3 linked regions of the Tribolium castaneum genome follow. The protein of the gene in region 3 binds, or shares a complex with, the protein of the main gene of each other region. Links are inferred from orthologs where the notes say so. Each region holds a gene or a part of one and is shown on either strand. Other genes may lie near its edges.

What was found.
Region 1: corepressor interacting with RBPJ 1 (region 3) and HDAC3 share a complex: the UniProt entries of both Homo sapiens proteins name them as parts of the notch corepressor complex. The link is inferred for Tribolium castaneum from reciprocal best matches to the Homo sapiens genes CIRSR and HDAC3.
Region 2: corepressor interacting with RBPJ 1 (region 3) and NKAP family protein CG6066 share a complex: the UniProt entries of both Homo sapiens proteins name them as parts of the notch corepressor complex. The link is inferred for Tribolium castaneum from reciprocal best matches to the Homo sapiens genes CIRSR and NKAP.

The regions. Positions count from the first base shown.
Region 1 is NC_087401.1:11,246,690-11,251,021, forward strand, and holds the start of HDAC3 (histone deacetylase 3), read right to left. Parts: upstream 2,880-4,332; 5' UTR 2,718-2,879; coding exon 2,513-2,717; intron 2,465-2,512; coding exon 1,588-2,464; intron 1-1,587. Other genes in the region: flap endonuclease GEN, read left to right, coding at 3,105-3,262, 3,308-3,587, 3,632-3,785. UniProt on the Homo sapiens protein: Histone deacetylase that catalyzes the deacetylation of lysine residues on the N-terminal part of the core histones (H2A, H2B, H3 and H4), and some other non-histone substrates.
Region 2 is NC_087400.1:4,954,088-4,957,010, reverse strand, and holds NKAP family protein CG6066, read left to right. Parts: upstream 1-1,320; 5' UTR 1,321-1,412; coding exon 1,413-2,312; 3' UTR 2,313-2,365; downstream 2,366-2,923. Other genes in the region: waprin-Rha1, read left to right, coding at 802-1,027, 1,075-1,217. UniProt on the Homo sapiens protein: Acts as a transcriptional repressor. Plays a role as a transcriptional corepressor of the Notch-mediated signaling required for T-cell development. Also involved in the TNF and IL-1 induced NF-kappa-B activation.
Region 3 is NC_087395.1:16,037,725-16,041,868, reverse strand, and holds corepressor interacting with RBPJ 1, read right to left. Parts: upstream 2,702-4,144; 5' UTR 2,591-2,701; coding exon 1,692-2,590; intron 827-1,691; coding exon 640-826; 3' UTR 547-639; downstream 1-546. Other genes in the region: Sf3b1 (splicing factor 3B subunit 1), read right to left, coding at 22-290, 345-372. UniProt on the Homo sapiens protein: May modulate splice site selection during alternative splicing of pre-mRNAs. Regulates transcription and acts as corepressor for RBPJ. Recruits RBPJ to the Sin3-histone deacetylase complex (HDAC). Required for RBPJ-mediated repression of transcription.

The sequences.
Region 1 (4,332 bases), on a different chromosome or scaffold from region 3:
TTTATCAAAAAATTATGTACCATTTTTTAATAAAAAAAAAATGACCAAAAAATGGGCTTTTTCATTTTATTTTTTAATGACATAGAAGTTTTTTTTTCAAATTCATATACAACGTTGGGCAAAAGTATGGAACCAAGCATTTTATGCTTAAACTATGTACCTTACGAAAAAACTAATTATTAAGTCATCGACTACTTTAAAAATGTGATAATTTTTTAAGAATAAAATTTTTTGAAATTTCTTTTAGTCTACGTGTTATTAATTTTTTTTTCAAATGGCTTCCTCCTATGGCGATTTTTTTGGTAAAAGATTATGTTCTAAAAATAACTTCTACTTTAAAAAAATTAATTTTAAGCCATGTTTTTTTTTTCATAAATTATTATTATTATTTGAACTTAATTTTTTTATAGAAAAATAAACAAATCACGTTTCTAACCGTTTTAAACTCGGGAATGATTCAACGTTAGAACAACACCCAGTTGTAATGAAACTATTTTGTGCAATACTTTTCATAAAAATTCAATTTCAAATTTTGCGTTCAGTTCCACTTCAGACCTCCTTAATATAGTTCAGTGGCGCAGCAAGGGAGATTGTTGGGGGTTGAGAACATAATCATGCAAAATAATTTAAGTTGCAGTAATAAAACAAAACTTTCCAGACAATCATTGTAGACATTCGATTTTTTCTACTTCCGAAAATTCCGAGAAAAGCAACCCACAAAATCCATATTTTCGTTATATTTCAGAAAAATCTTCGGAGAGGTTTTTTGTAAAATAAATGCTACATTTCTGATACCATGGTAGAAATAACTTTTTGAGTAATGACGTTATTTTTTATGAAAACCGACATTTTTAACAGATTACTGTTTTTGATAGTAGGTACACTCCCTTATCTTTCTGGTAATAATAAAAAAATAAAAAAAAATAATATTATCTACACAAAACAAAAAATACCAATATTATTTACCGATTATTTTGCATATATTTTTGAAAATAATTAAAATAGAAACACTTAAACAAAAATATTAAAACAATTACCACCTATAAAATAAGGCAGGAAACAGACAGATAAAGCTTTTTGTGTGAAATTCTTAATAATTTTTGTAGCTACAAAATGTGAGCTATACAACAAATAACCTTGAATTTAAGACAATTTTTTTTACATTATTTTTGCCCCGAACAACATTTCCGAAAAAACATTCAGCAACATATTTATTTTTAGTTAATTTTAAGTGCTACAAGGAACTAAAATAATCATATGCAGGTAAAGAGCTCATTTTTCATTTCTGCGTCGTTATTAGTTTACTAATGAAAAACATATTTTTACGAAGGTAAACCCCCATAAACTCTATCTCTGGCTGCGCCACTGGTATAGTTGTTCAACCTTCAATTGAAGAGTACAGGGGAAAAACAGGAAATAACTACTTTTCAAGAATTTGAACTAATAATGTCATGTAGTTTTTACTATTTTTTTAGCTCAAGTTATAGCCCTCCATAGTCAAAATTAAAACTAATTAACTAAAAAAAGTTGTTTTTCTTTGAATGACGTTCGTCATTTTTCCCTTATACTTATCAATTTAAAAATTACTTAGTAATGGCCTCCAAATACTGGCGACTGTTTGCGTTTTCCTGCCTTGTGACCACCTCAGGATGTAGGGTAAAGTCGGGTGCGAAAAACTCCAAATATTCGGTGTAGGGCAATTCATTTGAAATTTGTTCATCCACAAGTAACGAAGTTTCGTAAGTCCAACACCTCGCGACATTTCTCAGCGTATAACCGCCACCTCCAACCACCAAAGTTGGAACATTCAGACTCTTGACGAACTTAACACACTCCCCGTGCCCTTTGGTACTCAGGGAGAAACACCCCAGGCGGTCGTTGGCCAAGGAATCGGCCCCACATTGTAGTACAATTGCAGTGGGTTGGAAAAATTCCATCACGCTTGAAATGACCGGCTTAAAAACCATCCAATAGCTGGAATCGTCGATTCCTTCCTTCAGCGGCACGTTGACGGAGTAATAACGGCCACTTTCCGCCCCCACTTCGTACATATCGCCCGTGCCCGGGAAGAAATAATTGCCGTATTTGTGGAAACTGACCGTCATGACCCGATCAGTGAGATAGAAGGCTTCCTGGACGCCGTCTCCGTGATGCACGTCGATGTCAATGTATAAAACCCTCGCGTGGTACTTGAGCAATTCTAAAATCCCAATCACAATATCGTTAACGTAGCAGAAACCACTGGCTTCGAATTTCTTGGCGTGGTGGAGCCCCCCTGACCAATTAACAGCAATGTCGCAGTGGTTATTGTTCAGTTTCATGGCCCCCTCGAGCGACGCCCCCGTGTACATGGAGCAGAAGTCAAACAGCCCCCAGAAGACCGGGCAATCGTCCCCCACGTTATAGTGACTCAGATGCTTGGTGAACGCTTGGATGTTCTGCGGCGTGACTTTTTGCAGAAAATCTACAAGTGTGGGGGTTAAGGCAAGTGAAATTACCGTGGTGGCTTTACCGATGTATTCGTCCGAGTGGAAGCGACACATGTCGTGGGCGCTGGCCTTGTAAGGCCGGTAAATCTGCATGTGCTTGTGCAGCCCGTAATTTAACACTAAGCTGTGGATCACAGACAGGCGGTGGGGCTTCATGGGGTGCCCCGTCCCGTAGTGGAAGTTCCCCACGTCAGGGTTGAAGAAGTAAGACACTCGGTGCTTCGACATCACGCCGATAGCTCCTTCCACACGTACAAAAAATACAAAAACAAAACTATAACAACAAGGCGTTTCGTCAGCCAAAACCTATCCTCCGGCATGCTTCCGGATAGCCCCCATTGTGGTTTCTGATAAAACAGCCCCCAAACAAACGTGACGTTTCTGCGCCTCACTACCAACCGAACGACGCAAAAACACCCATTAAGAAATGGTGTTGTCGTAAAGATTATTATCATTAATTACAGAACATATTTCACAAATAAAACTCTGGACGCAATGTTGTTTTTGAGAATAAAGACGAAATTTGCCCATTTGAGTCTGTTTTAAGCGTTTTATCCCCCGATTTTCGTCGAGACTTTGTCACCAACTCCAAAACCAAAATCCCCAAGTTTGAAAATGGGCATCAAAGACCTGTGGACGCTTCTGGCCCCTTTCGGGGAGCGTAAGCCCCTCTACGAGCTGCAGGGCAAGACCGTGGCCATCGACTTGTCGTGCTGGGTGTGCGAGTCGCAAAACGTGACCGAATACACGGTGCAACCCCGCATGTACTTGAGGTTAGGTGACTGACACCGGTTCAAAATTTTGATTTTTTTTTCCAGAAATTTGTATTTCCGCACTTGTTACTTGCTCCTAATGGACGTAAATGTGGTGTTTGTGCTCGAGGGGCGCGCCCCCGAGCTCAAATACAAGACGATCGCCGCCCGCAATGCCCTGCAGTTCAAAGGGGCGAAGCCCAAAAATGGGGCCAAGACCAAGGACAGGTCGAGGTTTAATCACACGTTGAAACGGTGCGAGGAGATGTTGAGTTTGTTGGGGCTTGCGTGTGTGACTGGGGAGGGCGAGGCCGAGGCTTTGTGCGCACAATTGAATGAAACTGGGGTAAAAACATATTTTTTTTTCTAAGGTTCAAGGGGTTGTTTTAGCTCGTCGATGGGATTATTAGTCAGGATTCGGATTGTTTCGCGTATGGGGCACGTGTCGTTTATCGCAATTTTTCCATCTCGCAGCAGGGCAATCAGGCGGCCAAAGGGGGCTCTGTGGACGTTTATGACATCAGTGTGGCCAATGAGCGACTGAGTGAGTCCCCGAATTGCGAATGATTGTTTGATTTTTTTATTTTATTATTATTTTTTTCTGATCAATCCATCAATTTATTATCCAAATATACAATACAGGAATTATTTCGACAATTTTTAAAATATCTGGGAACCTACCAGAAAGATTACTTTAATTACACTTACAATTTTTTTGGTACATCAGAAAAATATTTATCAAAATAATTGGCTAATTTTTCACTGTTGCTAATTTATAAATTACCCACTTTAATAGGGATATTCTCAAAAAATCTGCTACAGCCTATAACTCTTTACATTTCATAGCTAAGAGAGCTAAGAAATAAATTTCTTAAAGATCGTCGAAAGTATGGATGAACAATTTATTTTGTATAAACTTTCGTAGTAAGTAATTAGTAGAAAATTAACAACTGGAAAAACAACACTAGGGCAATAGGACAATTTGAGGAGGAAAAAAAATTGCCTCCTCAAGAAGAGGGAAAAAGTAATGGGTTTCTGTAAGGTTTACATTTAGCTCCGTTAGAGTAAATTTCAGAAAAATTCCCGTTCCT
Region 2 (2,923 bases), on a different chromosome or scaffold from region 3:
TTTCGGTCGTTTTATAATTTATAATCATACCTTGCATTTTTTATACAGCGTTGGCGGAAGTATAGAACCAAGCGTTTTCAAAAATTGTTTTTTTCGAAATTTTTGTTTGTTATTGATTACGTGTATAATACACGTATTAATAAATTTTTTGAAAAATTCAAATAAGAAAAAATTTACCAATCGACCATTTTATTATATTGAGTAAGATAAAAAAATAACTAAATCAAATATAAATATAAATATAAATAAATATAAGAGATTTTTTAAATGTTTCTTTTTAAATAAAAATTGACCTGTCTCAAAAATTTTATTTTTTTTGTTTTTTTTTACTAAGATATTTAAGGTGGCTTGTTTTTAAACTAAATGTGAATTTTGTTGTTATACTTTTGGTTCAATCTGTTTACAGTCTTAAACGTGAAACTGTATAACGATTGAAATAGTGTGACTTCTCTGATAAAACTTTACTCACAGCAGACGCTTTTCTGACTGAAAACGCGATGAAACGCTCAAAAAACTAAAATTTTTGACCTAATTTTGTTTAGCAGCAGGAATTGAAGAAAAAAACAGTAGTAAATTAATACAAGTATAATAAAAATGGGTAATTTTTAATACATTTTTTCTATTTTTGTAGATTTCAACCAATTACTAAATTGCGCAAACCGCAGTGGAACCCCACATCCGCCCTAAATCCGCACACTTAATCAAAATTTCAATTTGTCGTTTTGTGGTTTCCGTTTCTTCGACTCTTGCACCTACACAACATCCAATTCCATTCATCTTAAAGCCCTACAAGTGTTAACAATGCAGGCAAAACTTTTCTTAATCCTTTCCCTTCTAACTGTTTTTGTGTACGGCCAAAGGCCTCGAACAAAATCGGGAGACTGCCCCCCGTACCCCAACGTGGGGATCTGTGAAGTGGCCTGTTTCGAAGACAACCACTGTGCCGGCCATTTCAAATGCTGCCGGACGGCTTGTGGCGGCACTTTTTGTACGGCCCCTGTAACAACGAGGCGAATTCAAAGAGGAGGTGAAATGGATACAATTTTTTTTAAAGAAAATTAATTTGTGTTTTAGAGAAACAAGGGTCTTGTCCAGTTGCACCGTCAGGCCCTTGGGTGTGCTCCAGCAGGTGTGCCCTAGACTCGGACTGCAGGGGGGCTAAAAAGTGCTGCAGGAATCGGTGCGGGGCCATGGCTTGCACCAAACCCGAATTTTAATCAGTTACAATTGTAGTATCGTTGTATGAATAAAAATTAGCAAATCGACGCATTTTGTGTTTTATTTATTTCCTTAAAATTTGAAATGGTTTGAGCAAATGTCAATTCTAGCTTATGGGAATGACGTAAAGTGACTTCAGTTTGACAGTTTTTTTTAAAGGTTATGTTATTGTAAAAAAATTGATTTTTTACGAAATGATGGATGTGGCAAAACACAGACGCAGTCGGTCCCGTTCCCCGGACCACCGGAGACACAAAACTGATAGATCGTTTAAAAATGATCGTAATAGGAGACACAGGTCCAGGTCTCATTCCAGGTCAAGAGACCGCCATTCCAGCAGACGCAGGTCTAGATCCAGAGGCACCACAACAAACGGTTTTGAACGAAACGACAAATATGAAGTCACAAAGAAAAAACACCTTGAGGACGAGTTCATGGAGTCCCGACGCCAGGAGCGTGAGATCCTCGGAATGAGGGATTACCCCAGCATTTGGGGCCAATCCCCCGAACCCGAAGACTCCGACAGTGACGTCGAAGACGTCACCAAGAACGCCCCCAAGCTAAAAAAACGGAAGAAGGAAAAGAAAAAATCCCACAAGAAGCATAAAAAGAAGAAGAAAAAGAAGAAGTCTTCAAGTGAGAGCAGTTCAGGGGAGGAAGAGTGGGTCGAGAAGACCACAACCACCAACAAACCCCAAACCAATGCGGAAGAGACCGAAGAGGTGATCGTCGGCCCCATTTTGAAGCCCCATGCCGCCCTGACTCACAAGGAAATGGGCAAGGCTTTGCTCCCTGGTGAGGGGGCTGCCATGGCTGCGTACGTCGCCGAAGGAAAACGGATACCAAGAAGAGGTGAAATTGGACTCACGTCTGAAGAAATTGAAAGTTTTGAAGCCGTGGGTTATGTCATGTCCGGCTCAAGACACAGGAGAATGGAGGCTGTGAGGATACGGAAAGAAAACCAGATTTATTCAGCTGATGAGAAGCGGGCTTTGGCCATGTTCAGCAAAGAAGAACGGCAGAAGAGGGAGAACAGGATTTTGGGACAGTTCAGGGAAATGGTCAACTCCAAACTGGCCGAAAAGAAAAATTAATTTCGTAGAATTGAGTGTTTATTACGTATAAATAAAGTTTTTTTATTACTTAATTTGTTTTACATTGTTGTACCCAACCGGTCCATCCCCCAGGGAAATGTTTGGCGCTGAAAATTGAACTTAAATTTCGGGTCAAAGTGGCCTATGATTTCGAATTAAGTTGGCAACATCTAGTTGCCAACTAAATTTAAAAATCACAGGCGACTTTAATTAAAGACGGAACAAAACGAATGTTTTACTTTACGTATCCCAGATTTTTGGCTAAATCTAGCGCAGCTCGGCTCCGCCGCCCCGACTGACAACTGAAAACTAAAGGCGTGGTGTTTGTAGGCTTTTCTCTTCGGAAAACTTGACGAAATTGTTCATCACTTGTGTTCTGCAGCGTTTCTTCTAAAGTGGCCACTTGAAATGAAGTACTTTGCAGTTAATTCATAAGTTAATTAGGGTATTTACAAGGTATATTGATGCTTCCAGGAATTGTTCCAGTTTGCGCTAATTCCGACGGGTTCCTCACATCAATTAGAAGAACCTGTCTGTTGTCTTTTAGGCTTCTAACGTAGTCAAAAGTTACTTCGTCTGACATTCTGTGGCTTATATTTAACGTTTGTGAG
Region 3 (4,144 bases):
CTTAAATAACACAAATCTCACCTGAGCGACATCATTGAGGAGCGCCACAGGGGCCCCCAGTCCGGTCCGTTTCTGACTATAACCCACATCGTCGTCCTCTTCATCGGCTTCATCGTTGGCGGCGATCGAGGTCACATAACCCTCGTATTTACCCTTACCGCCGCCCCCATCGTAGATCTCACTATCAAAATAGCCACTCTCGCCTAAACCTACACCCTTCTCGTTTCGCTCCTCTTCCACCGGAATTTCCTTCTTTTTAGACTGGATTTCACGAATTTGGGCCTCGATGTCTAGAGACGCAAAAAAGTCATGAAACGGGCTTTTGGGTGCAAAAAACAGCGTACCTTCATGAGTCCTTGGTATCTGTTCCATTTTCTAGCACCAATGCTTGTTGCTTTGGCTTATTTCGTTTCAAAACACTTTCAAGGAAAATCAATGACAAGCTTGCGTTACAAAATGGCGACTCATTAAGCGCCTGCGCGAAAATGGACCAATAGCCAGCCTGTCGCTAAAGTTGGCGGGATTTATAAATAAAATTCGGTGGAATACGTTTAAAAATATATTACGTTTTCTAAATTATTACAAGTATCATGATAATCCCTATAATCACAACAATTCTAAGAAATGTACAACAAAAACTTAAGAGCGTCTTCTTTTGCTATTTTCATAATAGGAATCATCAGATTTTCGCTTCCTGTCCCGTCTGTAGTCATCATTGTTATGCCGTGAGTGCTTTTTGTCCCTCCTTGACCTGTCCTCATCGGAACTTCTTCGCCCATTCTTTTCGTTCCTTTTACTGATTGCTTTCTCCACAATTTCCAGTTTCCTGTAATCAATTAATTAATAGTAAATTAAAAGATCTTTGTACTATTTTTTGTAATTGCCCCCTTTTTGTCGTTTTTAAATAAAAAATATTATTTTAATCGATTTAGGGATTTTTGAATTTTTGTAAAATTGTCATTTGTCAAAATTCAAGGCTAGTATGATTTTGGCAAAATATGGCTATAACTCAGTCTTTCAAATGGAACGATCCTTTTTTCTTAACAGCAATCGAACATCAATATTTATGGTGACTTTTATGAACACGTCCTATACCCATTTCCTACATTTTTAGAAATAATTACAAAAAAAAACACGGATTTTACTTCGTAATTTTCATAGTTAATCAAGTAGACCTTGCAAAATGGTCAACAACTGTCCAACTTTTATTTAGTTTTTAGTTGATTTATTATCAAATAAGCAGTACTTTTATTTAATAGCACAACTTTATCGTATTTTTCGAAAGTTTACTCGATTAAAATTGAAAACAATGAGCTTTTGGTCTTTTTTTTTTGAGATTATTTTAAAAAGTATAAGAGATAGATATAGGAGATATTGATAAAAGTCTCCATAAAAATCGATATCCTTTTGATTACCATTCAAAAATTTGAAAAAACTGTTATAATTACTTTTTGATCAATTTCAAAAAATCATAGTAGTCTTGCAATTTGACATTTGACAATCCTGAAAATTTGAAAAGACCCTTTGAACCTTTGGTTATCGAATACTAATATAATTATTTATTTATTGTAAAAGTTTCAAGAGTTGTGATTTTTTAAATGAACTACTGCAAATGAAAATTTTCGTACAAAAAATTGATATTCGACTAAAAAGTAGAGTACATTGTCCTCAGTTTTAAAGTCGAAACTTACTTAATCAATGCCTTTTTCTCCTCTTTGGACATTAGTTTAAACTCTGACGACTTTTCCTTCTTCTTGTGTTTCTTCTTATCATCTTCCGATTCCTCCTCAGAGCTCGTACTCTGATTCCTCCTCCTGAACTTCCTCTTCCCTGCTTTCTTCCTGTCTTCATCTGAGGAAGCCTCATCTGAATCCCTTCGTTTCTTGTTCTTCTTATCTCTCCCCCCCTTTTCAATCTTCTCCAACTTCTTCAACAACGCCTTCTTCTGCTTCTTCGTCAACGACTTAATAAAAGTCACAACCGAATTCTCATCAGCATCCTCGTTAATAATCAAATCATAATTAGCAGTCCCCGTATTGCTCAAATACTGCTTTTTAATCGCAAGCCCATCCTCCCTCATTTGCTCAACCAACGACTTCTGGTCCAAAATCGAGGCCGACTCGAGCGACCTGGCCACACTGGTCGACAAACTGTACATGGGGCACTCCTTATCCGTGTTAATGTGCCCCCATTTGTGGCACTTGATGCACCTGACGTTCCGCACTTGTATCCCGAACGGCTGGTCCCTAATCTCTTGATCGCCCTTACAGTAGCTCTCACGGGGGGCGTTGTATTTACGCTGCCACTCGAACTTGTACTCCGGCTCGTTGTCCTCGCGCTCGCGCTCCTTGCGCGCCCCGGGCGGGGGCTCGTACATGAAGTTGATGCTCAACTTGTCTTTGCTCTCCTTGCTCAGCATCGCCTTATTGTCGTGCAAGTCCTGCTCCTTCTCGTACTGCTGGCGCAGCTCCTCCTGCTTCTTCTTGTAGGCCTCGGCCTTCTGCTCCGCCATCCACACCCGCTTCAGGTTGTCCCGCGAAGCGGGGTGGAAGAACTTCTTACACATGTAGTTGTTGAAGCCTTTGCCCATCCTGACTGTTTTTGCTAAACTATTGCACAAATAAACGATTAATAACGCCAAACAAACTCACACTGACACCACACTGACACTTGCTAGTGGCAAGGGCAGCACTGGGCAAGGCAACACTGGTGTCACAAGTGAAAAGTCCCCAACACCATTATTATTAAATAATTTCATAAAAGATTCAATTTAATGACTGTTTTTAATTAATTAGTGTATTTTGGGTGTAACTGGTTTAATGTTATCAAATAGATATAAACTGTGGCCACCTTTTTGTATTTGTCGAATTTTGTTACATATTCGGTTATTAAGTATTTCGGTAGCTTGCGCGGTAGCTACTTCAGTGCGCAAGTTGTCAAATTTTTAACCTCACTTTCTTACGAATGGAATGCAATAAAAAAATGTTTTTAACGAATGCTTTGGAAGCTGTTTCTGGTGGTAGCTCCTAACAGTGTCCCAAAGTGAAATAAAAAAAGAAGTTGTGAGTGTATCAGTACATAACAATCAAATACTCTTTGAAAAAAAAAAGGTGGAAACAGTATTCAGAATGGCCCCCGAAGTGCGAATCAATTATAGAAAAGGAGGAAAATAGTAAAAATAATGAATAAGAATTTTGCAAAATGCTTTTATCGAAAAGTTGTTGTAGTTTATGTTTTATTACCTAGTAAACTTAACACACGTTAACAGGCCCTTTATGAACGATTAAACACCCTTTTTCATGGTAATGTTTAACACGAAAAGTTCATTTTTGTCCTATATATATATATATTTAAATAAATCGCACTGAAGTTTATGTCGTTGACTCAATGTAGATTTATCTGCCCTTGAACACATTCAATAATAATTAATAACGCTCTAAAAGAGCAGAAACGGACACAGAATTTATTAAAAGTTTAAATTTTAACGTTTCCTGTTGATAACATAACCCTACTTTTAAAACCGAATTTTCTGGAGACTTAAAATTAATACAATTTGTGGCGTTACCACTAATTTTCGTACTGAAATTTCACATCACCAGCTCGTTTGGACAAAAAAAAGGAGAAAAATAGTGAAAATAATGAATAAGAATTTTGCAAAATGGTTTTATAGAAAAGTTGTACTTTATGTTTTATTACGTGGTAAACTTAACAACACACGTTAACACGCCCTTTATAAACGATTAAACATCCTTTTCATGAAAAGGTTGACACGAGAAGTTCATTTTTCAATAAATCTCACTGAAGTTTATGTCGTTGACTCAAGGTAGTTTTGTCTGCCCTTAAACATATTCAACAATAATTAATAACGCTCTAAAAGTGCAGAAAAGCACACAAAATCCATTAAAGTTACAATTTAACACTTCAGAAGAGAGCATAATAACCCTAACCCTACTTTTTGAACTTTTGTCTCTATCTGGCAATAGCACATGATAAAGGTAGAGATTTCGGCCCCAAATATCCTACCATAACGCTCTAAAAGGGCAGAAATAGAGACAGAATTCATAAAAGTGTAAATTTTGCCATTTCCATCTAACAACATAACCCTACATTTCGAACCTACGGAATTTTTAACAAAACAAACCAA